2 linked regions of the Oryctolagus cuniculus genome follow. The protein of the gene in region 1 binds, or shares a complex with, the protein of each later gene. Links are inferred from orthologs where the notes say so. Each region holds a gene or a part of one and is shown on either strand. Other genes may lie near its edges. The genes, in order: OGDH and TCAIM.

Region 1 (16,198 bases):
TGAATTCTAGAAATCAGAACAGGAAAAGCCTCGGGAGAACGTGGGCACTCCCTCCCTCTGAGTGGCCGAGCGGCAGGGCCAGGGGCCCACCTTGCCCGCCGCCCTCCTGTCACTGGCTGCGCCAGCTGCCCGTGTGCCAGACTGTGTATTCCTTGCAGATTGGCTTCACCACAGACCCGCGGATGGCCCGCTCCTCCCCGTACCCTACCGACGTGGCCCGTGTGGTGAACGCCCCCATCTTCCACGTGAACTCAGACGACCCTGAGGCCGTGATGTATGTGTGCAAGGTGGCAGCCGAGTGGAGGAGCACCTTCCACAAAGATGTGGTCGTTGATCTGGTGAGTGACCCCAGGCAGAGTCCCCCCCCGCCCCCCCCCCCCCGCCCTGGTGTCCTGTTGGAGGGGCTGGACTCCCTGAGCACCCTGGGACTTCCTAGCTCTGGCCCCCACGTGGGCTCCTCCAGCCAGAGCATCTGAGCCTAGCACAGCCCGGGTGCTGTGGGTGCCAGAGTTTATTCTTGGGCCTGCTTGGAGAGTAAGGAGTGTGTGTTGCTATCACTCTGATGGCAGCCAGGTCAAGAGACAGGACCCTCATTCTAGGGAAGGAGCGCTCCTTCCCGAGGGCTTGCTGCGGTCCCTGACAGCTCCGGCCCTGTTCTGTGCAGGTGTGTTACCGGCGCAATGGCCACAACGAGATGGACGAGCCCATGTTCACGCAGCCCCTCATGTACAAGCAGATCCGCAAGCAGAAGCCAGTGCTGCAGAAGTACGCAGAGCTGCTGGTGGCCCAGGGCGTGGTCAACCAGCCCGAGTATGAGGTGCGTCCTGGCCCAGAGCGGGGAGGCCGCCGTGGGCAACCCAGACAGGGAGCGAGAGCTCCACCCCTACAGCCCCTCAGCCCCCAGGAGGCCACTGAGATGGGGTCTGCGGTGGGGGTGGCGGCCGCTGGCTCCCTCAGCGACACAGCAGTGCAAGGTCTGGCTCCACCCGGGGCCGGGTGTGGTCCCACAGAGGCTGTGCCTGCTCGCTTGCCAGCAGGCAGCCCAGGCAGACACCCCAGAGACGGACGTGTGGGCGCAGACAGAGCTCTGGAGCCCTGCACCCCAGGGCTGCGAGGAGCAGGCACACAGGAAGTAGGAGGTGCAGCGGGGTGTGTGCGGCAGGGCCGCTGTCCCCGTCCAGCGGTGTCATGCCCGACCCTCAGGAGGAGATCTCCAAGTACGACAAGATCTGCGAGGAAGCTTTCGCCAGGTCCAAGGACGAGAAGATCCTGCACATCAAGCACTGGCTCGACTCGCCCTGGCCTGGTGAGCAGAGGGCCCCGCGGAGACCCCTTAGTGCCCGCGAGGTGACCAGGAGGCCCCTCCCAGAGTCCAGCTCCTCCGGCGTGTGCCGCAGTCAGCAGCACCCCGCGCAGGTGTCGTCCCGACACGGTGCTACGGCGCCTCTGCCTGCCCTCCCTCGCAGGCTTCTTCACCCTGGACGGTCAGCCCCGGAGCATGTCCTGCCCCTCCACGGGCCTCACCGAGGACGTCCTCACGCACATTGGGAACGTGGCCAGCTCCGTGCCCGTGGAGAACTTCACCATCCACGGAGGTAAGTGCGTCGGGCTGGCCGGGGGGAACACTGGCCCTCTCTCGTCCTGCAGAGGCCCCGCGGCCCCTCCCACTGCTGCTGTCGGCAGAGCCCTGTGCTCACCGTGCCCTTCCACACCACTGGAAGCCCGGGGCTGCAGGGGCAGAAGGCCCTGGCCCCAGCAGAGTGGAGCAGCCACGCGGGCCAGGCCTGCAGCGCTGTGAGGGCTCTGTCTGCAGGGCTGAGCCGGATCCTGAAGACCCGCGGAGAGCTGGTGAAGAACCGCACCGTGGACTGGGCTCTGGCGGAGTACATGGCTTTCGGCTCGCTCCTGAAGGAGGGCATCCACATCCGGCTGAGCGGCCAGGACGTGGAGCGTGGCACCTTCAGGTAGCGTTGAGGCACACGGGATTCTGGGGAAACAGCCACGCGGCCCAGGCATTGCGGCTACTCTGCCCTCACCTCGTTTGCTGTGCCCCGCGTGCCGGGCGGTCGATCCCTCGAGCGTGCAGGGTCTCTGGATGTCCGTCCTGGCTGCGTGGGCTGTGGCAGCTGCACTCCAGGCTCACGGGTCCTCGTTCCGCCCCAGCCACCGCCACCATGTGCTCCATGACCAGAATGTGGACAAGAGAACCTGCATCCCCATGAACCACCTCTGGCCCAACCAGGCGCCCTACACCGTGTGCAACAGCTCGCTGTCCGAGTACGGCGTCCTGGGTGAGCCCCACCCACGCCCCCCCCCCCCCCCCCGGCCTGCAGCCCCGCCCCGCCCGCTGGCTGACGGCCAGGATGTGGCTCTCCCCCTCGTCCCTTACAGGCTTTGAGCTGGGCTTCGCCATGGCCAGCCCCAACGCCCTGGTGCTCTGGGAGGCCCAGTTTGGTGACTTCCACAACACGGCTCAGTGCATCATCGACCAGTTCATCTGCCCCGGGCAGGCCAAGTGGGTGCGGCAGAATGGCATCGTGCTGCTGCTGCCCCACGGCATGGAGGGCATGGTGAGCCCAGGTCGGGCACGGTCTTACACCACGTGCTGTGCCGGCGGGGGGTGGGGGGGGGATCGAGATTCATCGCCAGGAGGAAGAACCAGAAACAAGCGAGGTGGTCCAGGAGGGGAGCCGCGAGAGCTCCCAGGCCAACTCGGGGGTCTGTTCCAGGGGCCAGAGCACTCCTCTGCACGCCCAGAGCGGTTCCTGCAGATGTGCAACGATGACCCAGATGTCCTGCCGGTGAGTGAGCGGAGTCCGTCGGTCACCCTGAGCCGTCCTTCCCTGGCCTGGGGCTCAGGTCAGGCTGTGGCACAGCTTCGCCTGCTGGCCACACCCCGCTGCTGCTGAAACCACGGTGTGCCGTGTGGCCACCTCCACACAAGCTCCTGAACCAGGCCCGCGCAGATGTTGGAGGGAGAGAACTTCGGGGCATTCTACTGAGATTCCAAGACCTGAAAAGAACGGGTGGTCCGTTTCTAAGGAGGATTGGGGTTGGCTTTAGGGAGAACCGGTGTCTCCTAAAATAGCATGTTTTGTGCTGGGTGGAAGTTCACAGCAGTGGGAGGGATCCAGGGGGAAGCAGAGGGCAGGGCCCTGGGAGTGGCGCCCCTCGCTCCTAGACGCCCGCGTGAGGGGCTCAGCGCTCCTGCCCAGCCCCTGGCCGCTGCTCCCCACAGGACCTGCAGCAAGCCAACTTCGACATCAGCCAGCTGTACGACTGCAACTGGGTCGTCGTCAACTGCTCCACGCCCGGCAACTTCTTCCACGTTCTGCGGCGCCAGATCCTGCTGCCCTTTCGCAAGCCGGTCAGTGCGGGCCTGGCCTGGCCTGAGGATGACCTGTGACCCAGGGCGCTGACCCTGCAACGCCGGCACGGGGCCAGGCTTTTCCCAGGGCCTCTAGCTTGGGGCTGGCCAGTTGTTGCCTGGAAGGGGTGCATGGACAGGATGGAGTCAGAGCTGGGTCCCTCTTGGCGTTGCTCCCAGGGAAGGGCAGGCTGTGAGGTCCAGCCCAGCAGGGCGAGGGTGGTCATGGGAGCAGCTGGGGTTGGGGGGGTGCTGAGTACTGGAAGACAGAAACCCGCAGGGGCCCAGGGCTTGCAAGGAGCTGCGTGTTGGAGAGTAGGTAGGCGCCGGGTCGGGGTACGAGCAGAAGGAGGGGAGTGTATTCCCAGCAGCCAGCCCGTGAGCCGGCGGGGCAGGGCGGTCCTGGGGTTGGACCTTGTCACGCCCTCTGGCAGGCCGACGGTGTGTTTGCTGTGACTGCCAGAGGCTCGGGCTCTTCCTGGGTGCGGGGTGGGGCCAGGGCCTCAGCAGCTGGGAGCTGGGTGTCTGCCCCCGCTGAGGGAGGCTCCGCCCAGCACTGGGCGTTGTCTGCTGGGACCCAGGGTCCAGCTTGGGTGGCCTTGGCTTCCGACCAGCTTCTGGGACTTGGAGAGCATCGTGGGCCTGTTGTCTTCCAGCTGATCATCTTCACGCCCAAGTCCCTGCTGCGCCACCCTGAGGCCAGGACCAGCTTTGACGAGATGCTTCCAGGTGGGTGGGTGGGGTTGGGGGTTCCCTGCTGCTGCTCTGTGGGGCTCGCAGGACTTCACGTTTGACTTTTCCTGGCCGTGGGCAGAGGCTGCTGGCTCTCGCCTGTGAGTGCCCCCAGGACTGCGTAGAGGCTCTTGAGAGCCAGCGGCTCCTGTGACTCCTCCCCCGCACCCCGGCTCCTGCAAGGAGCGCTGGCTGTGCCGGTGCGGAGTGAGGCCCGGGCCTGAGGCCTCCGGGTGGCTGTGGGGAACAGGTGCTGGCAGCCGTGGCCACTTGAACGTGCCCAGGTGCTCCTGGGGCCAAGGCACTCACCCCCTCCCGGCTGCCAGGCCTCCTCAGGGCCGTGCGCGGACGAGCACGTCTCCGCAGCCCCGCCTTCCGCCCCGTGTTGGTGTGTGGCAGCGGTGGAATCTCCCTGGAGCGTTCGCCAGTTCTGTTTTCGCGCCGAGGAGCTGCCAGGCCCCGCCAGCGGCGCTGCGCCCTGCTGCATCCCCTGCCGCGGCGCGTCCGACACTCACACTCGCGCTTCCCGCTGTGCTGCTGTTAGCAGCCGTCCTGCTGGGCATGAGGCAGTGGCTCCTCGTGGTTTTGATTCTCATCTCTGAAAACCTGACGCTGGGCGTGTTTTGTGCGCTTAGTGGCCTTTAAAGAAACATCTCCACCAGCTTTGCCCACTTTTTTTTTTTTTCTTCCCCTGACAGGCAGAGTTAGAGAGAGAGACAGAGAGAAAGGTCTTCCTTCCGTTGGTTCACCCCCAAAATGGCTGCTATGGCCGGCACTGTACCAATCCGAAGCCAGGAGCCAGGTGCTTCCTCCTGGTCTCCCGTGTGGGTGCAGGGCCCAAGCACTTGGGCCGTCCTCCACTGCACTCCCGGGCCACAGCAGAGAGCTGGACTGGAAGAGGGGCAACCGGGACAGAATCTGGTGCCCCAACCGAGACTAGAACCCGGTGTGCTGGCGCCACAGGCAGAGGATTAGCCTAGTGAGCCGCGGCGCCGGCCAGCTCTGCCCACTTTTAATCCAAGTGTCTTTGTGTTGCTGAGCCTCAGCTCTCTGTCCCCGCTGTTGTTCCTCACCAGAGACGTGCTTCCCCTTCCATGAGTTGCCTTTTCATTCTGTTGACAATGTCTGGTTTACAGAACTTCTAGATTTTCATGAAATGCAAACGGTCTGTTTTCTGCTGTTGCCTCTGTCTTTGGGTCATATCCAAGAAATCATTGCCAAGTCCATTTTTATAATATTTTCCCATCTTTCTCCCAAGAGATTTGGAGGCCTAACTCTTAGATTTAGCTCTTTGATCCTCTTTAAGTGAATTTTCCATACATGCGTTCACAGGCTTCGTTCTGTCGCACATGGGTCCCAGTTTTCCTAGTACTGTTTGTCAGAACGACCGTCGCCTCCCCCAGCAGACGGAATCCTGCTGGTCGATCATTTGAGTGTGTATGCAGGGGTTACCTGTGGGCCCCGTCTGTACTGGTACCACACACACTGCCAGGCACAGTCCCAGTCTCGCTCGTGGGTGGCAGGGACCCAACTGCTTGAGCCGTTGTTTGCCGCCTCCAAGGAACTGCGTGGGCAGGAAGCTGGAAGCACTCTGAGGGGGGCCTGGTGTCTAAATCAGCGTCTGAATCACCAGGCCAAATGCCCGCCCCATGTCCGTGACCTCAGAGCAGAGCCGTCAGCCTCCAACCACGGAGTCTGACGGTTCCTGTGGGCTTCACAGATGGCTTTTCTCATGTTGACATTTGAAAATTTTCATCATGGCACTGAGTTTGAACGTGATTTCCTCACTCAACCTTGTTCCCCTCGGCACCTGGTCTGTCCTCTGACCTCTGTTGAAAGTTCTTAGATTTGTAGACGCGTGAGGCATAGGCATGCAGGAGACGGGTGTCCTGATGGCTCGGTTGTCCCTGAATGCCCGTATCAGGCTCTGTGGGAGAATCAGCCCTCGCACAGTGCAACACGCTTCTCCAGTGCTCGGTGTGCAGCAGAGGCTGCGCGGGGTGGCCTCCGTCCCACGCGATCCTCCGCTCACAGCCAGCACCGCTGGGTGGGCCTGGAGAAGGAACCAGCCCGGCCCCGGGGATTCTCTTGTAGGGACCCACTTCCAGAGGGTGATCCCAGAGAGCGGCCCTGCAGCTCAGGCCCCCGCCGGTGTCAAGAGGCTCCTCTTCTGCACGGGCAAAGTGTACTACGACCTCACCCGCGAGCGCGCCGCCAGGGGCATGGCCGAGCAGGTGGCCATCACGAGGATTGAGCAGGTGAGAGGCGGCGTCTGTTCCGCGAGACAGCCCCTCAGGGCAGCCCTGCCTGCGCCCCGCGGCGCCCTCTTCACCACCACCCCCCACCCTCCCCCCGCAGCTGTCACCGTTCCCCTTCGACCTTCTGCTGAAGGAGGTGCAGAAGTACCCGAACGCCGAGCTGGCCTGGTGCCAGGAGGAGCACAAGAACCAGGGCTACTACGACTACGTGAAGCCCAGGCTCCGCACCACCATCGACCGCGCCAAGCCCGTCTGGTGAGGCCCCGCCCCGCCGGGGGACGGGACGGGACGGGATGGGCCGGGCCTGCCGCGGCCGTCGCCCTCACGGCCCGTCTGTCTGTCCCAGGTACGCGGGCCGGGACCCAGCGGCCGCTCCGGCCACCGGCAACAAGAAGACACACCTGACGGAGCTGCAGCGCCTGCTGGACACCGCCTTCGACCTGGACGCCTTCAAGAACTTCTCGTAAACGCTCCGGGGTGCGCCGCTGCCCCCCACGCCCACGCTGCCCTCGCTTCTCAACTGAAGGATAGTGCCTGAGCGCCACCCACTCTGCCCCCGCTGTGCCCTCGTAGGAATTAGGCCCCTGTCCCTGAGTGCCGGCTGCCCGCCGGCTCCCGGGCTGTCCTGACTTCTGTCAGGCCGAGCAGCTTTCTGGGAGGAGGGGGCAGCAGGGGAGAAGGATGCCCCTCCCCCCAGCTCCGGCTACACCCCTCCCCCAGCACCCCCCCTAGGGCAGAGGAGAGCCCCTGTGTGGCCTCCCGGAGCGGCTGTCCTTGTCACCCAGCGAGGCGTGGGCTCCTGCACTGGGACAGGGGCTTTGTCTTCCCACAGCCAAGCCTCAGGATCCAGAGGGCCTGGGCTGGCAGGGCTTCCGGGAGGCCCCGGCTGTGGGCTGAACCGTGGATGCTCGCGGTGGCTCGAGCCCCACAGTGTCCATCCCAGGCTTCCCCGTGAGTCCAGGGCCCCACATGGGGCCGTGTCCCACTCACCCTCTTGGGGCCGGGCAGCACCCTTGGTGCCCACAACCGGGCGCTGGCCGCTCCGTCTCCGTCCCAGTCCCGCGGACCTGCTCCCCGCCACACCCCGCTCCCTGCTGTTTCCCATGATCCCAGTGGAGACTAAATGAGTCCTTTCTTTGCTGTGCCAAAGCAGGTCAGGAGCAGGAGGTGGTAAGGGCTGCAGCCGAGGGCCAGCCGCCTTCGTCCTCACTTCGACCTTCACAGGGACAGATCTGATTATTTATTTTGGTTAAAAAAAAAAGAACAAAAACAACTTTGCATTGCATCGGCTTGACCCATAAACTAAGTTATCCACAGGCTGTCTGAGTCATTCTGTGCACTCCGCCTTCTTCCCGGGGGCCAGTCCCCTTCTCGGACATAGCAGCCGAGGCCACCAGCGGCCCCCTTGCACGCTGGGGCAGTGTGGCCCAGGCCCAGGCCCCGACGTGCACCGGTGCTGTCCTCGTGAGCGTGGTGCGGCGGCCTGGCTGCAGGGCTGGCTTTAGGTGCAGCCTGGTTCTGACCATTCCAGGCCCTGTGTCCTCTCTGGTCAGGAGTCCACGATCTAACCCATAATGACCCAGGCGTCGGCCTCCTGGTGGGGCAGGTGCCTGGGAGTGTGTCCCCAGGCCCGGCCCCCCTTGCCCAGCAGTGCCCACCTGAGCCATGCCCGCAATGTCTGGATCTCGGGTTTACCCCGCTGCTGCCTCCTGACCCCGGCCGATGCTGGCAGGAGCAGGTGCTCGGGACACAGGTCCCCGCGCCCGATGCAGTGGGGACCCAAGCCGCACGCGAGCTCCCTGGGGCTGGAGAGTCCTGTGTGCAGGAGGAAGCTCTCGGAACTTCCCCCACTGGAGCCTCCATCTGGGCAGGGGTCTGGCCTTTCCTGCTTCACCCCAGCCCCAGAGTCCTGTTGGAGGGTGGCCACGACAGGACATTCTGGCACGGGGCAGCCGGCAGCACTTCCGGGTCAGGTGAGGTCACCGGCCCTGAGCCCTTCCTGTGGGGCCGTGACCTCGGGGTGGGCCTGGCTCCTCAGAAAGCTGTTGAAATGAGTGGGGGCTCTAGCCGTGCTCCAAGCATGGATCTGGCCCTGAGCCCCCTACAAGACTGACGTGCACTGGCCAGGGGCCTGCTGCTGCAATGCCCTGGACTGGCCTGCTGGTGGCGCCCTCCTCACCTGCGTTTGCTGCAGGCCAGGGCCCACGTGTGTGCGGTGTGGGGTCAGGGAAGGGAACGTGCACAGTGGGCAGGGATGGCCCAGGGTAGCGGCATCGGTGAGGGAGGCGTGGGTCTGGTTCTCTGTACAAGCCTGTGCTCAGGGCTTGAGCGCACGGACCCCAGGAGCTCCTGGCTGCACCTCTCCAGGTGGGCCAGGGGACGTCCTGTGCCACTCTGGATGCGAAAGGGCCCACGCGCCCCAGCCGCACGCGAGACTGGATGGTGAGATGGACTCTGCCTGTGGCCACACAGCTGCTGACAGCTGTGAGCCCAGGTGGGCAACGGCTCCCTGGGCTGCCTGGGAGGTGCTGCCCCTGTTGGCTGCTTAGTCCAGGTGGCTGTGGCGGTGAGCTCGGGTCAGGATGGGATTCAGCTAGGACTGGCGTGAGGAGAGACCGTAGAAAGTGCCCCTGTTTTGGCGTCTGTGAGCCCGCAGGCGGAGACCCCCGCTTGTCCAGCTGCAGTGTCCACACTGCACAGCTAGCCAGCCTGATCCTCCCCTAACCAGACTGGGTCAGGGCCTGATGCCAGCTCTGCCTCCCCCAGCCCACTCCAGGATTTGGGTTCAGTACTCACTGGTGACAGAGTTCACCGGGGGCATCCAGGGGTAGTGACACCTCAGGGAAGCCAGGTAAGGGTTGCCCGTGGGCACGGCAGGCAGGAGGCCACGCCCACACAGTGAGCAGGCCTGGCTGAGAAGGGAGGCCAGGTGTCAGGGCGATTGGGTAAGGGGAGGAGTTTTCCTTTGGATCCTGGAAACAGCTCACAGGAATCCTGCTTGGCTGAGGAATGGAGAGGAGGAGCATAGGGTGGCCCCCAGAGACCTAGGCCCGGCGCTGCCCGGGCAGGTGTGCAGGCCCCAGCTGGAGGTGGCCTGGCCCAGAGCCCTTTGATTGCAACAGCAGTGAGAGGCCTCCAAAAGGCATCTGTGGGGGTGGGGCTAACGTACAGGCCCTGAGGCTGGAGTGACTGGCAGGGTCCAGGGAAAATAAGTAAATCCTTTAAAAAAATGACAGCCGGCGCCGCAGCTCACTAGGCTAATCCTCTACCTGCGGCGCTGGCACACCGGGTTCTAGTCCCGGTCGGGGCGCCGGATTCTGTCCTGGTTGCCCCTCTTCCAGGCCAGCTCTCTGCTGTGGCCTGGGAGTGCAGTGGAGGATGGCCCAAGTACTTGGGGCCTGCACCTGCATGGGAGACCAGGAGGAAGCACCTGGCTTCTGGCTTCGGATCAGCACAGTGCCGGCTGTAGCGGCCATTTGGGGAGTGAACCAATGGAAGGAAGACCTTTCTCTCTGTCTCTCACTGTCTAACTGCTTGTCAAAAAAAAAAAAAAATGACATTTCTGGGGATACTCACATACCAGAACCTGTGTCTGTTGATAAAATCATGATTTTTTTTTTCATTAGCCTGTTACACTGACTCTCAAACTTGGATTCCTCAAACAAACCCCAGTTTCTCATAGTATATAATTCTGCATTGTAGAGTTCTTTCCTTATATGTATTCCTGCTTTTGACTGGCACTGCCATCAGTCATGGCTGTCTACCGCGTGCGGGGTGACGGCCCTCGTCCCTGTGCGTTGGGAACACGCCAGTGCTCTCGCCCAGCTGCTTGGAGACCTACAGTTGCTGTCAGTTTGGCTGGGCTGCCCTCCTGCGGCTGGGAACATCATTCTGTCCTGTGGTACCCTGGGCCCCATCAACCCAGCTCCCCTCTCCCCGTCCCGCTCTTCCAGGCCCTGGTAACCATGGTCCCCTCTCTGCTCCTAGGAGACCAAGGCTGTGGCGTCCTCGTGTGTGTGTGAGCATGCGGCATATTGTGCCTGATTTCATGTAACACGGTGTGCTCCACTTCCATTCGTGTGGCTGCCGGTGACAGACTTGCATTCCTTTTCATGACACTGTGGCTGTAGACACATTTATCCTCTCATCTGTTGCTGGACACAGGTTGATGCCGTGTCGCGCCCACTGTGCATCCAGCTGTAACGAATCCGAGTACCGTTAGAGCGCGAGTCTTTTGGCGGTGTACCCAGTCCTGGAACTGCTGCGCCAGATGGTAGATCTAGTTCTAGTTTTTTGAGGAAACCCCACACTGTTCTCCGTAATGGTCATATGAATCTACAGTCCCAAAATTTTGTGTAAGGGTTCTCCCTTCTCTGTATCCTTGCCAGCATGTGTTATACTACTCCTTTTTATTTATTTATTTATTTATTTATTTATTTATTTATTTATTTGAAAGGCAGAGTGACAGGACAAGCTTCCACTAGCTAGCTCACTCCCCAGATGGCTGCAACCGCCAAGACTGGCCAGGCTGAACCAGGAGCCAGGAGCTCCGTCCAGGTCTCCGAGGTGGGTGGCAGGGACCCAAGTACTTGAGCCACCACCTGCTGCCTCCCAGAAATCCGGGACTCAAATCCAGGCAGTCTGACAGGGATGTGGGCGTCGGCGGCCCTGCACCAAACAGCTTGGAAGAGCTTAATACTGGATCTGGTGGTGCTCCAGGTACTACACATGCAGAGCTTACCACAGTCTGCTGATACTTCATTTTACCAAGTGATGTGTAGGAACCTTGGCTCCCTTTGCATCCTGTTACCCTGCTCCATTTTGTGGGGGTCGTCCCAGAGCGTGGGAAAGTCCCAAAGCAGATGTGGGCTCCCCAGCTCCGCCCAAATATACAAATCAACTGCCCAGGGGCCGGCGCTGTGGCGTAGTGGTTAAAGCCGCCGCCTGCAGTGCCTGCATCCCTGTTCGATCATGGGAGAAGAGCACCCTAACTGCCAAGCTACGGCAGTCTCCATTGCTTTCTGCAACACACTTACTGGACAGTTTCCATAAATTTTTCTAGATACATTTAGAGCCAGGTCAGATGTGGTGTAACTTTTCTTCAGCCACCAAACATCCTGTGAAGGACTGGAGGGAGAGAGAGGGCTGTTGCATTTAGCTGCACGTTTTGCTTTCTGTGTTACTGTGTCCCTGGTGCTGTAGGAGACCTGTTATCATCATTGCCCTCCTAGAATGACCCGGGGCCGCCCCCAGATTAGCAGCTTCCGGAGGACTGTCAACAGCCAGGACAGTGCGAGGGAGACTCCCTCCAGGCTTCTGTGGGAAGTGCGTCCTCTGCCAGGCTGTGCGGTGGCCGCTGAGAGGAGCTCCAGTGACCCAGTGGGGTCAGACACCAGGACCCCGGCTCTTCCGGAAACTCCGCCCCTGCAGAATAAGAAGAAAAACTCAGTTGCGAGCAGGATCAGATGGAGTTCCAGCCATGAGTACAGGCATACACACCGCCTTCCTTAATTAATAAATAAATAAATAAATAAATAAATAAAAAGTTTATTTACTTGCTTGAAAGGCAAAGTGACAGATTTTTTTTCCCCACCCCAAATGGCCACAACAGCCAGGGCTGGGCCAGGCTGAAGCCAGGAGCCCGGAACTCCATCCGTGTCTCCCACGTGGGTGCAGGGGCCAAGCACTTGGGCCACCCTCCACTGCCTTCCCAGGCGCGTTAGCAAGGAGCTGGTTTGAAAGCTGCAAGAACTGGCTCAACCTGCTGCCCCGCCACGCTGGCCCCTTTGCCCTACTTGCTAATGGGTGCCACCCTGCAGTCACTCATCTAATAAGGGAACTACAGCCCTCTTGCCCGTAGCTGGCTGTTTTGAAACTCTCTGGAGAATAAAAATAACCTCCACTTGTGATATTCCACGAGGGAGCGCTCCCTGAAGACCCTTGGCAGAGCGTGGCGTAAGGACAAGCCCTGCCTTTGTCCAGGATACCTTCCCGGCCCTTCTGTCAACTGTCTCTGCACCTGCGCCGTTTCTCTGCATATAAGTGTTCAGACGCAGGCGCTGTGCCTCCGAGGGGCAGGTTTTCCACCTTGTTGGCCAGGCGTCCTTTGGAGGTATGAAGGTAGGGTTTCCTGTCCGGGCTGCGGGCCAGGTAAGGCCAGGAAGCCACGTGTCTGGCCCCGCCACGGCTACCACACGCAGACTCAGCTCAGCACGCGCACAGCAGGCTGCTGTTTAGCCTGAGGATTTCGCCCGGCCCACGAATGATGCTCTAAACGTGCAGATGGCCCCGGCCAGAGAGAAGTTCCCCAGCCCTGAATGGAAGGGATAGTCTGCAGGCTGATGTCCCAAAGCGGGGAGGCAGACTACTGCAAACTGAAAAATGAAGAACCTTGGTGCCGGTGCAGCGGAAAAGCCGCTGCCTGCAGTGCTGGCATTCCACACGAGCGCTGGTTCGAGTCCTGGCTGCTCCACTTCGGATCCAGCTCCCGCTAACGTGCCTGGGAAAGCAGTGGACGATGGCCCAGGTTCTTGGGCTTCTGCACCCAAGTGGGAGACCCGGATGGAGCTCCTGGATCCTGGCTTTGGCCTGGCCCAGCCTGGGCTGCTGCAGGCATTTGGGGAGTGAACCAGTAGATGGAAGATTCTCTCTCTCTCTCTCTCTCTTTCAAATGAATAAAAACAAGCAATTTATTTTGAGAAAGGCTTCTTTAGCTCAGAGTTGGAGGTTCAAGTCCAAGATCAGGCAGGAGAGGAAGCAGAGGAAACGTTCAGCCAACCCTGGGGTGAGAGCTGCCTTCTGAGGGCCTGACCCCAGTGACCCAAGGACCTCCCACCAGGCCCAGCCCCCAAATGCCATGATTGTATTAACTTCCGCTGTCTTAATTCCAGTAACCTACGACTACGCGTTCCGAGTCCTGTGTGAGACTGGGAGTGGAACCCCACGGAAACACGGGCTGCTCCCTGGCGCCCCGAGGCCCGTGTCCTTCTCCCACACAGCACGTGGTCATTCCTCCCCCATAGTTCCAAAGTCTTAACTCAGTCCAACAGGAGTGCACAAGTCCAAAGTCAACACTCAAGGCAAACTCCTGAGGCCATGAGCCTGTGACAATGCAAGTTAGAATGCAGGGACACTCAGGGTGTCCAGTCCCAAACCAGAAAGGGTTGAATGGATAATTCCAGAGGACTCTTTGTACCAAAGCAAGGCCAGCAGGGCAAACAGTATCTCTTAAAATCTGTATTTACATCTATTTTTTTTTTTTGACAGGCAGAGTGGACAGTGTGAGAGAGAGACAGAGAGAAAGGTCTTCCATTGCCGTTGGTTCACCCTCCAATGGCCGCCGCGGCCGGCACACCGCGCTGATTCGAAGCCAGGAGCCAGGTGCTTCTCCTGGTCTCCCATGGGGTGCAGGGCCCAAGCACTTGGGCCATCCTCCACTGCCTTCCCGGGCCACAGCAGAGAGCTGGCCTGGAAGAGGGGCAACTGGGACAGAATCCGGCGCCCCGACCGGGACTAGAACCCCGTGTGCTGGCGCCGCAAGGCGGAGGATTAGCCTAGTGAGCTGCGGCACCGGCCTATATCTATCTATATATGTATTTCTAACTACATATGATATATATTTTAAGATTTATTTATTGGGGGGGCAGGCACTGTGGTACAGTAGGTTAATTCTGTGCCTACAGTGCCGGCATCCCATATGGGCACCAGTTCAAGTCCCAGCTGCTCCACTTCCGATCCAGCTCCCTGCTGTGGCCTGGGAAAGCAGTAGAAGATGGCCCAAGTGCTTGGGCCTCTGCACCTGCATGGGAGACCAGGGGAAGCTCCTGGCTTCAGATTGGCGCAGCTCTGGCTGTTGCAGTCATTTGGGGAGTGAACCAGCGGATGGAAGATATTCTCTCTCTCTCTTTTAAATAAATAGGATAAATCTTTTTAAAAAATTTCAAATGAATTAGGGCTTGCGTAGTCGGGCAGAGTCCCAGTTAAAGGGCGAGAACGAGCTCCGAGGATGGCCCGAGCGGAGGGTGGGCGCCCTGGGTGCAGCTGGGCTGAGCCAGCAAAGGCGGGACAAACGGCGGCCGGCCGCTTCGAGCTGTGCCCGCGGCAGGGACCCCTTCTCTGTGACCAACTCACACATGAGCCTGCGGCGGAGCTGGCGAATGTCGCGTCCCAGCTGCGGTCGCCGTGGAATCCGAAGTGGAGCAGCCCGGGCGTGAACTGCTCCCATCCGGGATGCTGGCGCTGCGGGTGGCGGGCGGCTCAACCCACTGCGCCACAATGCCGGCCCCGAGTCTAATTTTCAGTAAGAGAGATGTCAGAGCAGACTTCCCCGGAAATAAATCTTTGCAATATTAGTTTTTTTAAAGATTTATTTATTTATTTGAAAGTCAGTTACACAGAGAGAGGAGAGGCGGGGAGAGAGAGAGAGAGAGAGAGGTCTTCCATCTGCTGGTTCACTCCCCAGTTGGCTGCAATGGCCAGAGCTGTGCCAATCCAAAGCCAGGAGCCAGGAGCTTCTTCCGGGTCTCCCACGTGGGCACAGGGGCCCGAGGACTTGGGCCATCTTCTACTGCTTTCCCAGGCCATAACAGAGAGCTGGATTGGAAGTGGAGCAGCCGGGACTCGAACTGGTGCCCATATGGGAGGCAGCGGCTCTACCCGCTATGCCACAGCACCAGCCCCTGCAATATTATTTTATGATGAGTACGGATGCTGTTACGAACAGGGGCCTGTGTATTGTGTATCTGGATCGTGTGACAGAAGAGGGATGCAAAAGTCCTGCTGATGCCGGTGTGCACAGGGTGCTCTGCAAAGAGAGACATCTGGGCGAAGCTCCCCAAGGGCCCTCTCACACAGCGGTCAGTGTGTCTGCCCGTCCACACAGCGGTCAGCGTCTCTGCCCCGTCCACACAGCGGTCGGAGCGTGTCTGCCCCGTCCACACAGCGGTCAGCGTCTCTGCCCCGTCCACACAGCGGTCAGCGTGTCTGCCCTGTCCACACAGCGGTCAGCGTGTCTGCCCCGTCCACACAGCGGTCAGCGTGTCTGCCCTGTCCACACAGCGGTCAGCGTGTCTGCCCCGTCCACACAGCGGTCAGCGTCTCTGCCCCGTCCACACAGCGGTCAGCATCTCTGCCGCGTCCACACAGCGGTCGGAGCGTGTCTGCCCCGTCCACACAGCGGTCAGCGTCTGCCCCGTCCACACAGCGGTCAGCGTCTCTGCCCCGTCCACACAGCGGTCGGAGCATGTCTCTGCCCTGTCCACAAAGCGGTCAGTCTCTGCCTTGTCTACACAGCGGTCAGTCTCTGCCTTGTCTACACGGTGGTTGGAGCGTGTCGCTGCCTTGTCCACATGGCGGCTGGAGCGTCTCTGCCCCGTCCACACAGCAGTCAGAGTCTCTACTGTCCACACAGCGGTCAGCGTCTGCCCTGTCCACACAGCAGTCAGCATCTCTGCCCCGTCCACACAGCGGTCAGCGTCTCTGCCCTGTCCACACAGCAGCTGGAGCGTCTCTGCCCCATCCACACAGCGGTCAGAGTCTCTGCCCTGTCCACACGGCAGTTGGAGCGTGTCTCTGCCCTGTCCACATGGCGGTCAGAGTCTCTGCCCTGTCCACACGGCGGTCAGAGCGTGTCGCTGCCCCGTCCACACAGCGGTTAGTGTCTGCCCTGTCCACACAGCGGTCAGCGTCTCTGCCCCGTCCACACGGAGGTCAGCGCCTGCCCCGTCCACACAGCGGTCAGCGTCTGCCCTGTCCACACAGCAGTCAGGATCTCTGCCCCGTCCACACGGCGGTCGGTGTCTCTGCCCCGTTCCACATGACGGTCAGCATCTGCCCTGTCCAC
Region 2 (15,906 bases), on another chromosome or scaffold:
CCAGCATCTGTTGTTGGTAGATTTCTGAATGTGAGCCATTCTAACCGGGGTGAGGTGGAACCTCATTGTGGTTTTGATTTGCATTTCTCTGATTGCTAATGACCTTGAACATTTTTTCATGTGCCTGTTGGCCATTTGGATTTCCTCTTTTGAAAAATGTCTATTGAGGTCCTTGGCCCATCTCTTAATTGGGTTGTTGGTTTTGTTTTTCTGGAGTTTCTTGATCTCTTTGTAGATTCTGGTTATTAACCCTTTATCTGTTGCATAGTTTGCAAATATTTTTTCCCATTCTGACGGTTGTCTCTTCACTCTCCTGACTGTTTCTTTTGCAGTACAGAAACTTCTCAATTTGATGCAATCCCAATAGTTAATTTTGGCTTTGACTGCCTGTGCCTCCCGGGTCTTTTCCAGAAACTCTTTGCCTGTGCCAATATCTTGAAGGGTTTCTCCAATGTTCTCTAGTAACTTGATGGTGTCAGGTCGTAGATTTAGGTCTTTAATCCATGTTGAGTGGATTTTTGTGTAAGGTGTAAGGTAGGGGTCTTGCTTCATGATTCTGCACGTGGAAATCCAATTTTCCCAGCACCATTTATTGAATAGACTGTCCTTGCTCAAGGAATTAGTTTTAGATCCTTGATCAAATATAAGTTGGCTGTAGATGTTTGGGTTGATTTCTGGTATTTCAATTCTGTTCCATTGGTCTATCCTTCTGTTTCTGTACCAGTACCATGCTGTTTTGATTACAACTGCCCTGTAGTATGTCCTGAAATCTGGTATTGTGATGCCTCCGGCTTTGTTTTTGTTGTACAAGATTGCTTTAGCTATTCGAGGTCTCTTGTGCCTCCATATAAATTTCAGCACCAATTTTTCCAGATCTGAGAAGAAGGTCTTCGGTATCTTGATTGGTATTGCATTGAATCTATAAATTGCTTTTGGGAGAATGGACATTTTGATGATATTGATTCTTCCAATCCATGAGCATGGAAGATTTTTCCATTTCTTGGTATCCTCTTCTATTTCTTTCTTTAAGGTTTTGTAATTTTCATCGTAGAGATCTTTAACGTCCTTGGTTAAGTTTATTCCAAGGTATTTGATTGTTTTTGTAGCTATTGTGAATGGGATTGATCTTAGAAGTTCTTCCTCAGCCATGGCATTGTCTGTGTATACAAAGGCTGTTGATTTTTGTGCATTGATTTTATACCCTGCTACTTTGCCAAACTCTTCTATGAGTTCCAATAGTCTCTTGGTAGAGTTCTTTGGGTCCCCTAAATAAAGAATCATGTCATCTGCAAAGAGGGATAGTTTGAGTTCTTCCTTCCCAATTTGTATCCCTTTAATTTCTTTTTCTTGCCTAATAGCTCTGGCTAGAACCTCCAGAACTATATTGAATAGCAGTGGTGAGAGTGGACATCCCTGTCTGGTCCCAGATCTCAGTGGAAATGCTTCCAACTTTTCCCCATTCAATAGGATGTTGGCTGTGGGTTTTTCATAGATTGCTTTGATTGTATTGAGGAATGTTCCTTCAAACCCAGTTTGCTTAGAGTTTTCATCATGAACGGGTGTTGCATTTTATCAAATGCTTTCTCGGCATCTATTGAGAGAATCATATGGTTTTTCTTCTGCAGTCTGTTAATGTGGTGTATCACATTGATTGTCTTGCGCACATTAAACCATCCCTGCATACCAGGGATAAATCCCACTTGGTCTGGGTGGATGATCTTTCTGATGTGTTGTTGCATTCTATTGGCGAGAATTTTATTGAGGATTTTTGCATCTATGTTCATCAGGGATATTGGTCTGTAATTCTCTTTCAGTGCTGCATCTTTTCCCGGCTTAGGAATTAAGGTGATGCTGGCTTCATAGAAAGAATTTGGGAGGATTCCCTCTTCTTCAATTGTTCTGAATAGTTTGAGAAGAATTGGAGTTAGTTCTTCTTTAAATGTCTGGTAGAATTCAGCAGTGAATCCATCTGGTCCTGGGCTTTTCTTTGTTGGGAGGGCCTTTATTACTGTTTCAATTTCTGTCTCAGTTATGGGTCTGTTTAGGTTTTCGATGTCTTCCTGGTTCAATTTAGGTAGGTTGCATGTGTCCAGGAATCTATCCATTTCTGATAGGTTTCCCTGTTTGCTGGCATACAAGTCCTTGTAGTAATTTCTGATGATTCTTTTTATTTCTGTGGTGTCTGTTGTTACATTTCCTTTTTCATCTCTGATTTTATTGATTTGGGTCTTTTCTCTTCTTTTTTTAGTTAGTTGGGCCAATGGGGTGTCAATTTTGTTTATTTTTTCAAAAAACCAGCTCCTCGTTTGGCTGATTTTTTGTAATGTTTTTCTTGATTCAATCCTGTTGATTTCTTCTCTGATTTTAATTATTTCTCTTCTCCTACTAGATTTGGGTCTGGTTTGCTGTAGGTTTTCTAGATCCTTGAGGTGAATAGAAAGCTCATCTATTTGGTGCCTTTCCAATTTCTTGATGTAGGCACCTATTGATATAAACTTTCCTCTTAACACTGCTTTTGCTGCATCCCATAAGTTTTGGTATGTTGTGCTGTTATCCTCATTTACTTCCAGAAAGTTTTTGATTTCTCTTTTGATTTCTTCTATGACCCATTGTTCATTCAGGAGCATGTTGTTCAATCTCCATGTGTTCGCGTATGCTCTAGGGATTCCTGAGTTGTTCATTTCCAACTTCATTCCTTTATGGTCTGAGAAGCTGCATGGTATGATTCTAATTCTTTTGAATTTGCTGAGACTTGCTTTATGGCCTAGTATGTGGTCAATCCTAGAGAAGGTTCCATGTACTGCTGAGAAGAATGTATAATCTTTAGCTGTAGGATTGAAAGTTCTGTATATATCTGTTAGATCCATTTGGGCTATAGTGTCGTTTAAATCTACTGTATCCTTGTTGATCTTCTGTCCTATTGATCTGTCTATTTCTGAGAGTGGAGTATTGAAGTCCCCCAGTACTATTGTATTGGGGTCTAAGTCTCCCTTTAAGTCCGTTAACAAATCTTTTAGATAAACCGGTGCCCTGTAGTTAGGTGCATATACATTGATAATTGTTATATCTTCCTGTTGAATTGATCCCTTAATCATTATGTAGTGTCCCTCTTTGTCTCTCTTAATGGTTTTTGTGGTAAAGTTTATGGTGTCTGATATTAAGATGGCTACGCCTGCTCTTTTTTCATTTCTGTTGGCATGGTATATCTTTTTCCAGCCTTTCACTTTCAGTCTGTATGGATCTTTGTTGGAAAGATGTGTTTCTTGTAAGCAGCAAATAGATGGGTTTTGTTTTTTAACCCAATCAGCCAAACGGTGTCTTTTAACTGGACAGTTCAGGCCATTCACGTTCAATGTGACTAATGATAAGTGGTAACTTTGCCCTGCCATTTGCCAAAGATAAGTTCTAATATATGCTTTGAATTCCCTGTGATCTTTTGCTGTGAGCTTTCCTTCCTTGGTTTCCTTCCTTTACCTTCTTTCATATTGATGACCGTGTTTCTTTGTTTCTGTGTGTAACACATCTTTAAGCATCTTTTGCAGGGCTGGACGAGTGGCAACAAATTCTTTCAATTTCTGTTTGTTATGAAAAGTCTTTATTTCACCTTCATTCACAAATGATAGCTTTGCAGGATATAATATTCTGGGCTGGCAGTTGTTCTCTCTTAGTACCTGGGCTATATCTTGCCATTCCCTCCTAGCTTGTAGAGTTTCTGATGAGAAGTCAGCTGTGAGTCTGATTGGAGATCCTCTGAGAGTAATCTGACGTTTCTCTCTTGCACATTTTAGGATCTTTTCTTTCTGTTTCACTGTGGAGAGTTTAATTACAACGTGCCGTGGTGAGGATCTCTTTTGGTCGTGTTTATTAGGGGTTCTGTGAGCTTCCTGTACTAGGATTTCTCTGTCCTTCTCCAAACCTGGGAAATTTTCTGCTAATATCTCACTAAAAAGGCCTTCTAATCCTTTCTCCCTCTCCATGCCTTCAGGAACTCCTAGAACCCGAATGTTGGGTTTTTTAATAGTATCCTGAAGATTCCCGACAATATGTTTTAGATTCCTAATTTCCTCTTCTTTTCTTTGGTCTGACTGTATCCTTTCCTGTTCTCTGTCTTCTAAGTCCGATATTCTCTCTTCTGCTTCTCCCATTCTGTTTGTAAGGCTCTCTATTGTGTTTTTCATTTGATCTATTGAATTCTTCACTTCAGTCACTATCCCAGTTTCCTGTTGTACTAGTTGTTTCGTTTCATTTTGATTCCTCCTTAATATTTCATTTTCACGAGAGAGATTTTCTATCTTGTCCATTAAGGATTTCTGTAGTTCAAGAATTTGTTTTTGAGAACTTCTTAATGTTCTTATCAATTTTTTGAGATCTGCTTCTTGCATTTCTTCTATGTCATCATCCTCATAATCTTGAATTGGGGTGTTTTTTTCATTTGAGGGCTTCATGGTGACTTCCTTGTTTTTATTACCTTGGTTTTTGCGTTTGTTATTTGTCATATTGGAGATATTTGGTTTCTTCACTGTGGTGCTTTTTCTTGTTATACTATGACTCTAGATTAAGTGGACTATCTGTTTTTGATGGAGCCTTAGGGCTTGAGATGGGTGTGGCCTGAGAGCTCTGTTTGGTGTGCCAAAGGTGACACTCCCAGGTTAGGCGTGGTAAACCTCTCTCTCTCTCTCTCTCTCTTTTTTTTTGATTCAACAGGGAAGTTATTCTGCACAGCTGAACAAAGTTGGAGGTAGTTAGCAGGCAAATGATATACCCACAGGAGCCAGAGATCAGAAGCTCTTTCCCAAGGACCACACAGGGAATCTGTTCGGCCCTTAGAGTGGGCTCAAATTCTCCTTCAGTCTCCCACTGGGTTGCCAAAGTTACGGAATTGTAGCGTCTCTGGAGAGTGCTCACGTGAATTCCGTGAGTTCTCTCCCCCACCGTCTCTTTTTTCACAGTCTCAGTTCAGTAGCACCATAAATTTACTAAGTCCTAATCTCCTGTTAATTCGCCCCACCCAGAGTCAGGTTTTACTGCTAGGCTCAGGGCCGGTGCAGACCTGAGGTCGCTCTGCTTATGACGTATGTCCAAGATGGCGCCTGCTCTTTGTCTTGCTCGCCCTTGAGAGGTGAGCGGAGAGAGAGAAACCCGTATCCATACCAGTCACCTTTTTTTTTTTCCCTCTCTCTCTCTTCCAGTTAGCTTGGTGAAGTCCCCCCCGCCCCGGGGGTCGTTCCCTCTAGTCTCCTCTCTCCGCTTGCCTGCCGGTGTCTCGGGTTATTGAGGTTTGGCTCACCTCGCGTTCCAGCGCTGGTGTGTTGAGTCTGCCGCTGATGTCCCGAACTGTGGGCTCCCACGCTCTCCACGCAGGTCTGCTCCAAAAATAGCTGTTTTTAAAAGCTGAATTAAACTTAGGAAACTAACTAGTGAATAGTCCATATTTGTTTATTCTCCACCTACAAGAAATTTCATGTGGCTATTTTCTAAGTATGAGTGTAAGTAGGTAAAGTGCATTACCACCATGTCACCATGTACCTCAGTTTGAGAAGCAGGGTTTGTTAATAACAAAATTCAACTCAAGAACAGAATGAAAAATAAAAATACCAGAAAGAAATTCTCCATTGCGTTCCCTCTGTGGTCCCTCTTCTCCTTGACACAGAACGCGCATGCACACCCTGGGAGGGCAGAGCTGGACCTGTTTTATTCCCCAGCCGGCCCTTAGCAAATAATCCACCAACTTTTCTCACTGCCTAAGCCCCTCCCCAGCTCCGGGCCCCGTCCCATGCTTATGCTCCAAGGAGAACAAGCACTTGCTTCCAGCCCAGCACACCTGCCCGCTGAGTCATGGCCTTCACTGTCCCCCAGACTGGGCTCTGGGCCCACCCCAGCAGCCTGCCCTCCCCATGGTCCTCTCTCCTTTCCTTTGCTTTCTCCCCGTGTCAAGGTCGCCTCCAACGCATTCTCCAGGGAGGGATTAAGGCACCTTCTCTCCTTACAGGAACCATGTTCCTACTGATCCTCTGATTTTCAAACCCTTTCCCACTGCATACATCTTTATAAAGCAGGTTTTTAAACAAGATAGAAGTTGACATCTCCTCCTCTTCCAGGAGAAACTCGAGGCAGCCATAGCCGTAGGCGCGCTGCACACTTGTGCAGGGCGCCAGCTTGCTAGACAGGGTGAAATGCATTCTTCTGACCTAACACCTTCCTAGGACCCACATGACCGTCTCAGTAGCACCCGTCTCCTGTTGCCTAGCTGGGGCGTAGAAAAGGGGAACCCACACTCCTCTGAGGCCTCAGCAGCCCAGTTTACAGCTCTTGATGCAGGCTGGCAATAAGGAGGGTGGCCGGCGCCTGAGAGTAAGCCAGGCTCCCAAGCATGGACTCACTCTGATGTTTCACTCACCCAGTGTCACCCACTCCAAACTCCAGAATCACCTGTACAAATTGGAAACAATGGAAATGCACAGTAATAGACAAGTGGAGGAATTCTGACGCTTGCACAAGGCGGAAACAGCCTTGTAAAAGAATGCACATTCATTCAGCCAGCATTTCTTGAGCACTCGTGCTAGCAAACCAAAGTCACAGCCTAGAAGGACTGATGCATTCTCCCCATCATCGGTGGGGGCCCAGACATAAGACCATGGTAACATCTGACATTCCCTCACGCACTCCAGCTGACAGCAACGTGTGTGTTGATGTTCCAGGCTGAAGAGCATTGAGCAGGAGTTGATAGAGGCTTCGGCAAAGAGGTTCTCCCTGGAGAAGCTGTACAAGGAGCCCAGCCCGGGTAACCTGGGCTGAGACCATAGACTTCTTTTAGAAGGAGTGTGGGGACCCTACCCAGGTTTATGTAGGGAGCAGCTATGGAACCACACAGAGCTTGTTCACACTGCAGGCCTCGTTCTAAGTCAGGCTATAGATATCTTGTTAATGTCTTTATTATTTTTTTGAGCAAGTGGAAAAGCCCCTTACAGGAGCTTGTCATGCCCTGCTGTGTAGTTCATCCTAAAGATGAGTTCTGAGAACTGAGAACCCCGTCTCCCCTAACCACTGTCTGCTTTCTTGAATCTGAGCAGCGCTGTGTGGAAGCAGCCAGCAGCCCCCGAGAGGGTGATCCAAGGGCAGCTGACTACAGACCCGTTAACAGTCACTTCTGCTTACCTCACGGGTACTTTATGATAGTCTCCTCTTTCGTGCAGAGTTTGAGGGTGGTCAAATACAGGAGAGATGGCTGCCGTTAACCTGTACAGTATTTAAGTGACACTGGTTCAGAAGCACCTGACTGTGGCTTGTACCTTATCCGTAGGTATCATATGCGTTGGTCCAGTCTACCTGTGCAAATGTCAGGTAAATGTGTTGTGAACACAGCCTTGGGAGTGGGGCATGGGGACAATTAGTAGAACACTTGATCCAGGAGCATTTGCCACCTCTGGGAGAAAGGATTTGAGACACTGAGTTCAGCTTGCAGGTATTGAACTTGTAGGCCTGGACGGGAGCTCCTGGTGGGACAAGACACCTGAAAGGGAAGGATGAGAAAGGGATTGGCAGGGGTGGAAAAGTCAGAGTGGCGAGAACATGGTGTCCCAGCTCCAGCTTTTGCTGTGAGCCCACTGTCTACTCTGGGAAGATTTAGAAGTCGGTACTGAGGGCTGGCATTGTGGCACAGCAGGTTAAGCCGCTGCCTATGACCCTGACATCCCATGAGAGCACTGGTTCAAGTCCTTGGCTGTTCTGTTTGATCCAGCTCCCTGCTGATGTGCCTGGGAAAGCAGCACAAGGTGGCCCAAGGGCTTGGGCCGCTGCCACACACGTGGGAGAGCTGGATGGAATTCCAGGCTCATGGCTTTGGCCGTTTGGAAGTAAACCAGCAGATGGAAGATATCTTTCACTCTCACTCTCGCTCGCTCTCTAAAACTCTGTTTAAATAAATAAATAAATGTTTGTTTGTTTGTTTTGGAAAAAAAGTTATTAGTGCCCGAGGGTTAAACTTCAGGTGGTGCCTAAAGCTTGGGGTTTTATATTCTCAACTTTCTGCTTTCTTCAGTCACTAGTAGCTGCTGAGTGAAGCAGGAAAGGAGCTTTTGAAATTGTGCATTAATTATTTTTGCCTTACTGCTACAAAGATTGACAAATACCGTACTCTTGCAATCCACGAGGAGACCCCTCCCGAGGGGCTGTGCAGTGACTCTTCACAGGAAACATCTCGGGGCCCAGTGAAGGCCACTGTCATTGCCATGCATGGGGAGCTGCAGCCCCAAGACATAAGACCATGGTAACATCTGACATTCCCTCACGCACTCCAGCTGACAGCAACGTGTGTGTTGATGTTCCAGGCTGAAGAGCATTGAGCAGGAGCTGATAGAGGCTTCGGCAAAGAGGTTCTCCCTGGAGAAGCTGTACAAGGAGCCCAGCATCTCGAGCGCGCAGATGGTGGACTGCTGCACAAGACTCCTGGAGCAGTCGCTGCCTTCCCTGCGCGGCATGCACCTGTGCGTCTCCCACTTCTACTCCGTCCTGCAGGACGGAGACCTGTGTATTCCCTGGAACTGGAAGAATGGAGAAGCCATTAAGTAACACAGAGCCCTGTTTTATTTTTTTAAAGCCATAAGAAAGAAGCTGTTAAATGAAGCTTATTTAAATCCACAGTTTAATACAACAGTATTATTTACATATTACAAAAACAAAAATTTCTAGATGCTGCTTTAAAGGTAGATCTTTTTTTTAATTAATTTCTGCTGGAAAATCCGTTTTGAAAAGGTTTTATCTCCCAGTTTTACCATGTGGGCTGACAAACCTAGGTAAAAAGAGGTTAGGAGAAAGAACATATTTTTAGAGATATACAAATGAATGATTCGACAAGAGTTGTCTATTTTTATAAATGTAAATGAGGCTGGACAAGTGTGTGTGCGTGCGTGTATGTGTGAGAGAGAGAGGATATAAGAAAAGTCTGGAGGGATCTCCTACATGTAACATGACTCAATATGCATCGTTATGGTTATGTCTCTCATGTACAAATGCACACACATTATTTTGCAGCCAGCAAGGGACAGCTGATGTCCAAAACCAATGATGGATAAGTAGAAAAAATTAGATAATCGATTTTTGCCTCAGAGAAAAAGGAACAAGATCAGCTGAATCCATGGGGCGGACAGTGTCATGAGCAGTGTGACATATTCAGTGACAGAGAATTTAGTTGTAAACCCATCATTTCTCCTCCCGATTAAAAAACTAGCCGTTGCCAGCACCAAACCAGCAGACAGGACACTTGTCTGAAACCCTGAAGGAGGAGATTCGTTGGTGCCCATGGGCACACACCGTCAGGAGAATTCTGGCCTGCATCCCAGAGAGCTGCGAGGAGTCGAGTGGAATGTAAAATGGCTCACACCGCTCAGGACTTCTGTGCCCCCAGCCCCCACCTTCCTGTCCCTACCGACATTTGAAACCCCTGGTTAGCCCTGCAGGGTACAGCGTCCCCAGCAGAGCCAGAGATCAGATGTACGGGGTGCAGCTCCCTCTGCAGTTACCCCGCCATTCCTTCGGGTCATATTTTAAACCAGATCCAGGTCCTTTCTCAAGGAGACAAGGTGAATCCCAGTGCAGGACACTGTTTTTGTGGCTTTTGCTGCTGAAGAAATCGGAATTTTTTTCCACAGTACACTGTTAGAGTCAGTTAACTGAGGTATGTTTTAATTTCAGCCATGGATTATTTAAGTAGTTGGAATTCAAATGTGTGTTCATCAGAAGTGTTGATTTATTATAATTGTGCCTCTTGGCTGTACAACTTGAACATCTCCAGTCTGAAATGCCCTCAAATCCAAAATGGTTTGAGCATCGACATGATACCACAGTAGGAAATTCTACAGCTTGAACTTTGTTCCATGTACAAAATTATTAAATGTTGTATAAAATTGTCTTCAGTCTGTGTGTATAAGGTATATATGAAACATAAATGAATTTCACGTTTAGAACTGGGTCCCACTCCCAAGATAACTCAGAACATCTGAAATCCAGAACTCTTCTGGTTCCAAGCATTTTGGACAGGGGATATTCAGCCTGTACTGAAAATCTGTTTTCTAATGTAACAAATGCTGTCACCTGTAACAATTTCCCACAACCAAATAATGAGTGAAAAATTAAAACTTCACATAAGAAAAATAATCAAAATATGAGGTTTGATTTGTACGTTTTCTAAAATCGAAATACGTTCTGAATTGGATTCTTGTCTCAGAACTAATGGTTACATGATAAATAAAACCTGCATCAACCAGGTAACTGACTGGTCTTGTTAGCGAGTTATTGGCAGTTTCACAACCGCCGCGGACTAACAGGAAATTACAAGACCTGGAGACCTGTGGACGCCCGTCTGACCTCCCCCCGCCTAACAGCAGGGAAATGTCTCTTGCCACTCAGAACTGGCGCAGCGCGGGCCCCTCTACCCCTTGGTCTCCAAAGGGCTGAGTGTGCCAGTGCTGGGCTAGGGCCGTCCCCAGAAAGCTGGGGCCCCTCCGCTCCAGCTGCCCAGCCAGGGAGGCATGTGTCCAAAGTCTGCTCAGGCCCTACTTCCTCTCAGAGGCCTCCACCTCCAGGCAGCTTCCCTGAGCTAATGAGAGCACTGCACTTTGAGGGATGGGCAGGATAAGAGGGGCCAGGACCAGCTCAGTTTGGGATCCTAAAGGATTGGCTGCACAGCCCAGGCAGAGGTCCCGGGAGTGACCCCTTCCAGTTCAGGTCACTTGTCCAGCCTCCCAGTCTCCCCTCCCCCACACTAACTCAGCCTCTTCCACAGAGGCCAGCAACCCAGCCTCCAGCTACCCTGGAGGGTTCTGTCCAGGCTTCCCTGAGCATCCATTAGACCACATCAGGTCTGCAGAGACAGATGGGCCTGGCGCTCCAAGCTCTGGGAGAGATCATGTCCTGGCATGCTCCCATCCACAGACCAGGGAGCAGATGCCAAAGACTGGGCCCAGCAGCTGCCTGACCACAAATTCCTGACCTGTTCCAAGACCACCCGTCACTCATCCATGTCACCTGGCCAAAGCCCAGCCTGCAGCCCCCTGACAACAGTGCCATCACTGCCAGTGCCTATCCTTTGTGTAAGAATTGGCCCAGGGGCCGGCGCTGTGGCATAGCTGGTGAGGCCGCCGCCTGCAGTGCCAACATCCCGTATAGTTGCCAGTTCGAGTCCTGGCTGCTCCACTTCCACTCCAGCTCTCTGCTGTGGCCTGGGAAAGCAGTGGAAGATGGCCAAAGTCCTTGGGCCCCCGTACCTGCATGGGAGACCTGGAAGAAGCTCCTAGCTCCTGGCTCCCAGCTTCAGATCAGCACAGCTCCAGCTGTTGCAGCCATTTGGGGAGTGAACCAGCAGATGGAAGATCTCTCTCTCTGCCTCTGCCTCTGCTAATGAGAGCACTGAGATGATTTCCTGTGGAGGCAGTGACCGCAAAGGAGCCGAGGGGTTGGGGAGGGACATCAGAGGCCCGGGTCCAGCTCTGAGTCCCAATCCTCTGGCCTCACATGAGACCTGTCTCCAGCAGCTGGTTCTGGCCCATGCTGTCTGCATGCCAGGCTGCCCTTAGTCCCCGGCAGGAGTGGCAGGTAGATCCTGTGGACATCCGCAGGGTGGGAGACACTGAGGCCTGTCCAGATGCTGTTTGCACACCCCCAGTGATGGAGAGCTCATTCCCTCCCCAGGCAGTGCTCAAAGCAGTGTGTAGCCCTGAACAAGCAGACGCTCTCTCCAAATGGAGCCAAAGTCTGCCTCTGGGGCTCCCCACTGAGCTCCTGCACTGGCCCCACAGTTGCTGTGGGACAGCTCCTCCTCCAGTCACCTCAGCACGTGTCCCGCAGACAACCTGGTGCACCCCTGCCTCTGCCTCGGACAGGCCACGCATGCCTGGGTGCAGACTGCTCAGGGGAGACAGAGGCCTGCCCTTGGGTACTGGTCTGAGTTGCAGGGTGGCAAGTCTGGCTTGCCTGAGTGGGATGGGGAACAGCCACCAGGAGCAGGCCAGGGTACCCTCCTCGCCCAGGCCTGGCAGTGTGTGGCCTGGGATCCCCAGGGACAGGTAGCTCCTAGGATCTGCCCCCAACTTCCACTTCAGCCATTGGGAAGGCAAAACATGAATTCCATCAGCAAACAACAGAACCCTCAGTCAGAGGCAGAGACATGGACATGGACAAAAGGGCATGCAGGTCTCCCATCCACACGTTCAGTCCCCGGATAGCCCGGCCTCAGCCTGGACTGGGCCAGAAGCCGGGAACTTGATCCAGGTCTCCCACATGGATGGCAAGGACCCAGCCGCTGGAGCCATCACCTGCTGCCTCACAGGGTCTGCCCTGTAGGAGGCTGGAATCAAGGGCCAGAGCCAGCAAGTGAATCCGGACACTCCAATATGGAACATGGGCATCTTAACCACAAGACCAAATGCCTGTCCCTCCGTAGCTCGGATAGTCACAAAGCCCCACTCGTGCCCCTACCCTGCTGTCCACACACACACACACTGGCCTGCGACTTGGGCCCAGGGTGAGCTCTGTGGAGCTGTTTTGGGCTTGGCTTTAACTGCTAGGCTCTTGTCAGTGGCCTGCGTGGAGGGTCCACACCCACTGCTGCTTGGCTTTCTGGATCAGAGACCCTGAGAGCTCAGACTGATGGCTATCTTGCAAGTGGGCAATCCATCCAATCTCGAAAGGAAATTCCTGCCCCACTTTTATTACGTCATCAGCAGGCCTGCTGGGTCACAAGCTGGGGGACTGAGCCACACTGGCCTGAAAGGACTTCCTTTGTCTGGGTGTCTGTTCAGGGCATTAGTTGTCCTGAGAATTCCACTGGTGTCACTGAGCTGTGATCCCACACCATGCTGAGCCCAGCTCCCTGTTGAAGGCTCAGCTTTTACCTTGCTGAGAACTCCTGAGATACCTGCTGGGACCCTTGTAAGCTGGATGAACATGAGGCTAAGTGGCCACGTAGGTCAGGATTCAGTGGTCCTGCCAGACAGGGCACCACTGCCTGCCCAGCCAGGACCAGGGTCCTGATGACCTCCGAGCCCTCTCTGCCTTCCAGCCTCACCTGCTCAGCATCCTGTGCATCTCGTGACTGCAGACCATGGCTGCCCATCAGCAATGACACCAAGGACTTGATCAAGGACACCCTGCATGGGGCCTGGAGACAGCAAACCAGTCCACCCACTGCCCTGTGGACCAGCCAGGCCCTGCCCTCTGCCACGCTCAGAAGCAGCCTGGCCTTGAGATCTGCTGACCCAAACCTAGGCCTGACCTCCAGGCTTCCACCCAGCCCATCACTGAGCACACGGGCACTGCCCAGGAGACTGGGCAGGCCTGGTGGACAGACCTGCTCTCCCCTGCACTGTGCATGGAGGAAAGCTGAGGCCAGGGGAGGCAGGGTCCACATTGGCCACGGAATCAGGACTGGACTCCAGGCGAGTGCTCCCCAGCCCAGAGAACTGGGCTTCACAGGGTCCTCAGCCTTGTCCACCTGTGGCCCCCGCCACATAATGGGGTGGGCAGGAGGCAGGGGGGGTTCTCAGGGCAGCCAGGATGCCCCATGGCCTCATTTCCTGGGGTAATTCAGAAGCCATAGGAAGGAGCAGGAAGCCACTCTGAGCCTGGACGTCCAAGCTAGCCCACCTGGAAGAAGGGCCCTGGTGCTCCTGGCCCAGCCAAGAATCAGATGAGGGCTGGAGGCTGCCTGTGTGGGGTGACTCCAGGGCCAGGGCTGACACAGCCTACAGGGGGAGCTGAGGGAAGGGAGGGGGTCTCCTCTATGGGGTAGGCATCCGTGAGCCAGAGGCTTTGGGGTCTCCTCCACTGCATAGTCATTCTCTTCCTCACCCCCAAAGTCTACTTCCTCAATGCCTAGCAAGTCAAGTTCATGTGGCTCAAAGCCAAGGCAGGGGCACAGTGCCCCCTGGGCAAAGCTGACAGCAGGGCTACAAGGCGAGCTAAAGGGCAGAGGTGCCAGCTAGCATGGGTGCTGGCTCCTGGCCACACCATTCCAACACGGCTCTGCGTGCCCCACCACCCTGTAGCATCGCTGACACACTGAGTCCGCCCTAAGCAGACACTCCAACTGCAGCTGCTCTGTGACGACCGGGACCCAGCCGGATCTGCACCGGAACTCCAGCAACTTCTCCAACAGCTCCTCCCCAAGGCTCCCCATGGCCCTGGGCCTGCCTGCCTGATACGGGGTGAAGTCCTCATGGGTGCAGCTCCCCACTGCTCACCACTCCATTCCCAGAGGGCTGAGAGCAGCAGCCAGGACTAGGGCACATGCTGCCCACTTCCCACTAAGGCATCATCCAAGCCTGTTGCATCAGCAGCCCAGGAAAATCACAGAGCCGGGGATGAGGGTCTGTCCAAAAGGCCAGTGTCCACCCTGGCTCCTTCCACTCTTAGCTCTGGCCCCTCACTGCCCTGGAGATGACCCAGGCCATGCCCCAGGGACACTGGGCCTGAGGGTTCTACTCTTCCTGCCTGGTCCCCATCCCCACCCGTGGAGGTCTCCTCTGCCTATGGCTTAGACACCAGCATCAGAACAGCCTTGCCGACCCATGGAGCTAAGAGGGGAAAACCCAGATGGTCAGGAGGCAAATGAAAGTCTAGAAGAGATCATGTGTCAAAAATCTAAACACAGTTTATGTTGGGTTTGAAAGCGTTTGGCAAGGTCCTCACAGAGCATAAAGGTGCACAGGAACAGGTGTGGCTGCCCCAGCCACGGATGGCTCAGAAAGCTGCTTCAGGGTGCAAACACTTCCCGAGGCTCAAAAGGAAAATCGGTTGTTTCCAGTAATAACATTTTTCAGCTTGCAGGTGAAGGCCCAAGGGCTGGAAGGATGGGGAGAAAAGGTGGCCACGGATGACCTCTGGCCCAAGCCAAGGGGGCCGAGTGTCAACAGAGCGCCCCCTGGTGCTGAGATGGTGGCGGGGAATGCTGAGAACTGCAAGGGGCTCCTGGCTCCAGTGTTAGCCTGGCCTTCTGTGGGTGTCCAAGGGAGGGAGTCTCTTGAGCTCTTGTCTTTCAGTGATGCTGTGGGTAGAGGCGAAGGGACAGGCCTCTGTGCAGGGGCGGCGAGCAGGTCCTGGGGACAGGGAGGAGCCCCCTGCACGCCCCCATGCTGAGAGCCGGACTTCTCTTGTGGTGTTTCAGGAGCAGCTGCAGGCATGGTGGCCTTCCATGGTGGGTAGGTGACTTCTCCAGTTATCTCATTGACCCAGAAAAACGTATCTAGAGGTTTCTTCCCCGATACGAACTGACTCCTGGACATCTCTACGAGGGAGAAGAGCAAGACAACAGGGAGATCTTCCAGTCTTCCCTCCTTGGGGGTGGAGGCTTAGAAGGGGCCTCACACGCCTCGGCATCCCAAAACCCAAAGCTGCACCTGTCGGGGGATGCAGTATCCCCAGTGCTACAGACAACTTCCAGGACTAGGAAAAAGCCCAAAGGGAGGCGCAAGATCCATGCTAGAGTTTTGTTTTGTTTTCTTCCTCTTTCTTTAAATGTTTATTTGCTTATTTACTTTTTATTTCAAAAGGGGACAGAGAGAAAGAGAGAGATCTTCCATCCACTGGTTCACTTCCTAAATGCCTTCAACCACCAGGGCTGAGCTACACCAAAGTCAGGAGCCAGTAGCTCCATTCTGGTCTCCCACAGGGGTGGCAGGGGCCCAAGTATTTGGACCATTTTTCCCTGCCTTCCCAGGCTCATTGGCAGGAAGATGGGCCAAAGCAGGAGCCAGGGCTCCAACTAGCACTCCAGTATGGGATGTGCTGGCATCGCAAGGCAGTGGGCTCAACTCACTGCACCACAACTCCAGCCCCTTGCTTTGCTTTTCAATATTTTCAATCTCCACATCCTCAGGTTGAACATCCATGGATTCAACCAACTATTGGTTAAAA

The links.
Region 2: the proteins of OGDH (region 1) and TCAIM are in contact, whole or in part, in a cryo-EM structure (PDB 8I0K), measured with the Homo sapiens proteins. The link is inferred for Oryctolagus cuniculus from reciprocal best matches to the Homo sapiens genes OGDH and TCAIM. Residues at the interface, in NP_001425937.1 of Homo sapiens: Gly301, Tyr304, Arg323, Tyr354, Arg356, Ile358, Arg364, Asn365, Lys387, Glu391, Tyr394, Cys395, Gly396, Thr398, Glu399, Lys401, Lys402, Lys561, Met602, Pro605, Glu667, Gly668, Ile669, Asn709, Met734, Ala735, Ser736, Pro737, Asn738, Gln772; in NP_001269842.1 of Homo sapiens: Glu214, Gln234, Arg235, Ser236, Trp237, Gly238, His241, Ser244, His247, Ser248, Arg251, Gln255, Asp272, Arg273, Thr286, Met287, Asp288, Val289, His290, His291, Glu331, Leu332, Gln333, Pro334, Val335, Arg375, Tyr376, Glu441, Ser443, His473.

Annotation. Positions count from the first base shown.
Region 1 is NC_091447.1:52,008,617-52,024,814, forward strand, and holds the end of OGDH (2-oxoglutarate dehydrogenase complex component E1), read left to right. Parts: intron 1-158; coding exon 159-338; intron 339-664; coding exon 665-817; intron 818-1,203; coding exon 1,204-1,306; intron 1,307-1,466; coding exon 1,467-1,595; intron 1,596-1,813; coding exon 1,814-1,964; intron 1,965-2,163; coding exon 2,164-2,291; intron 2,292-2,391; coding exon 2,392-2,570; intron 2,571-2,729; coding exon 2,730-2,801; intron 2,802-3,238; coding exon 3,239-3,367; intron 3,368-4,023; coding exon 4,024-4,096; intron 4,097-6,193; coding exon 6,194-6,357; intron 6,358-6,457; coding exon 6,458-6,612; intron 6,613-6,703; coding exon 6,704-6,824; 3' UTR 6,825-7,676; downstream 7,677-16,198. UniProt on the Homo sapiens protein: 2-oxoglutarate dehydrogenase (E1o) component of the 2-oxoglutarate dehydrogenase complex (OGDHC). Participates in the first step, rate limiting for the overall conversion of 2-oxoglutarate to succinyl-CoA and CO(2) catalyzed by the whole OGDHC.
Region 2 is NC_091441.1:112,021,535-112,037,440, reverse strand, and holds the end of TCAIM (T-cell activation inhibitor, mitochondrial), read left to right. Parts: intron 1-6,698; coding exon 6,699-6,743; intron 6,744-8,327; coding exon of another isoform or gene 8,328-8,372; coding exon 8,373-8,568; 3' UTR 8,569-10,266; downstream 10,267-15,906. Other genes in the region: uncharacterized protein C3orf86-like, read right to left, coding at 14,772-15,275. UniProt on the Homo sapiens protein: May regulate T-cell apoptosis.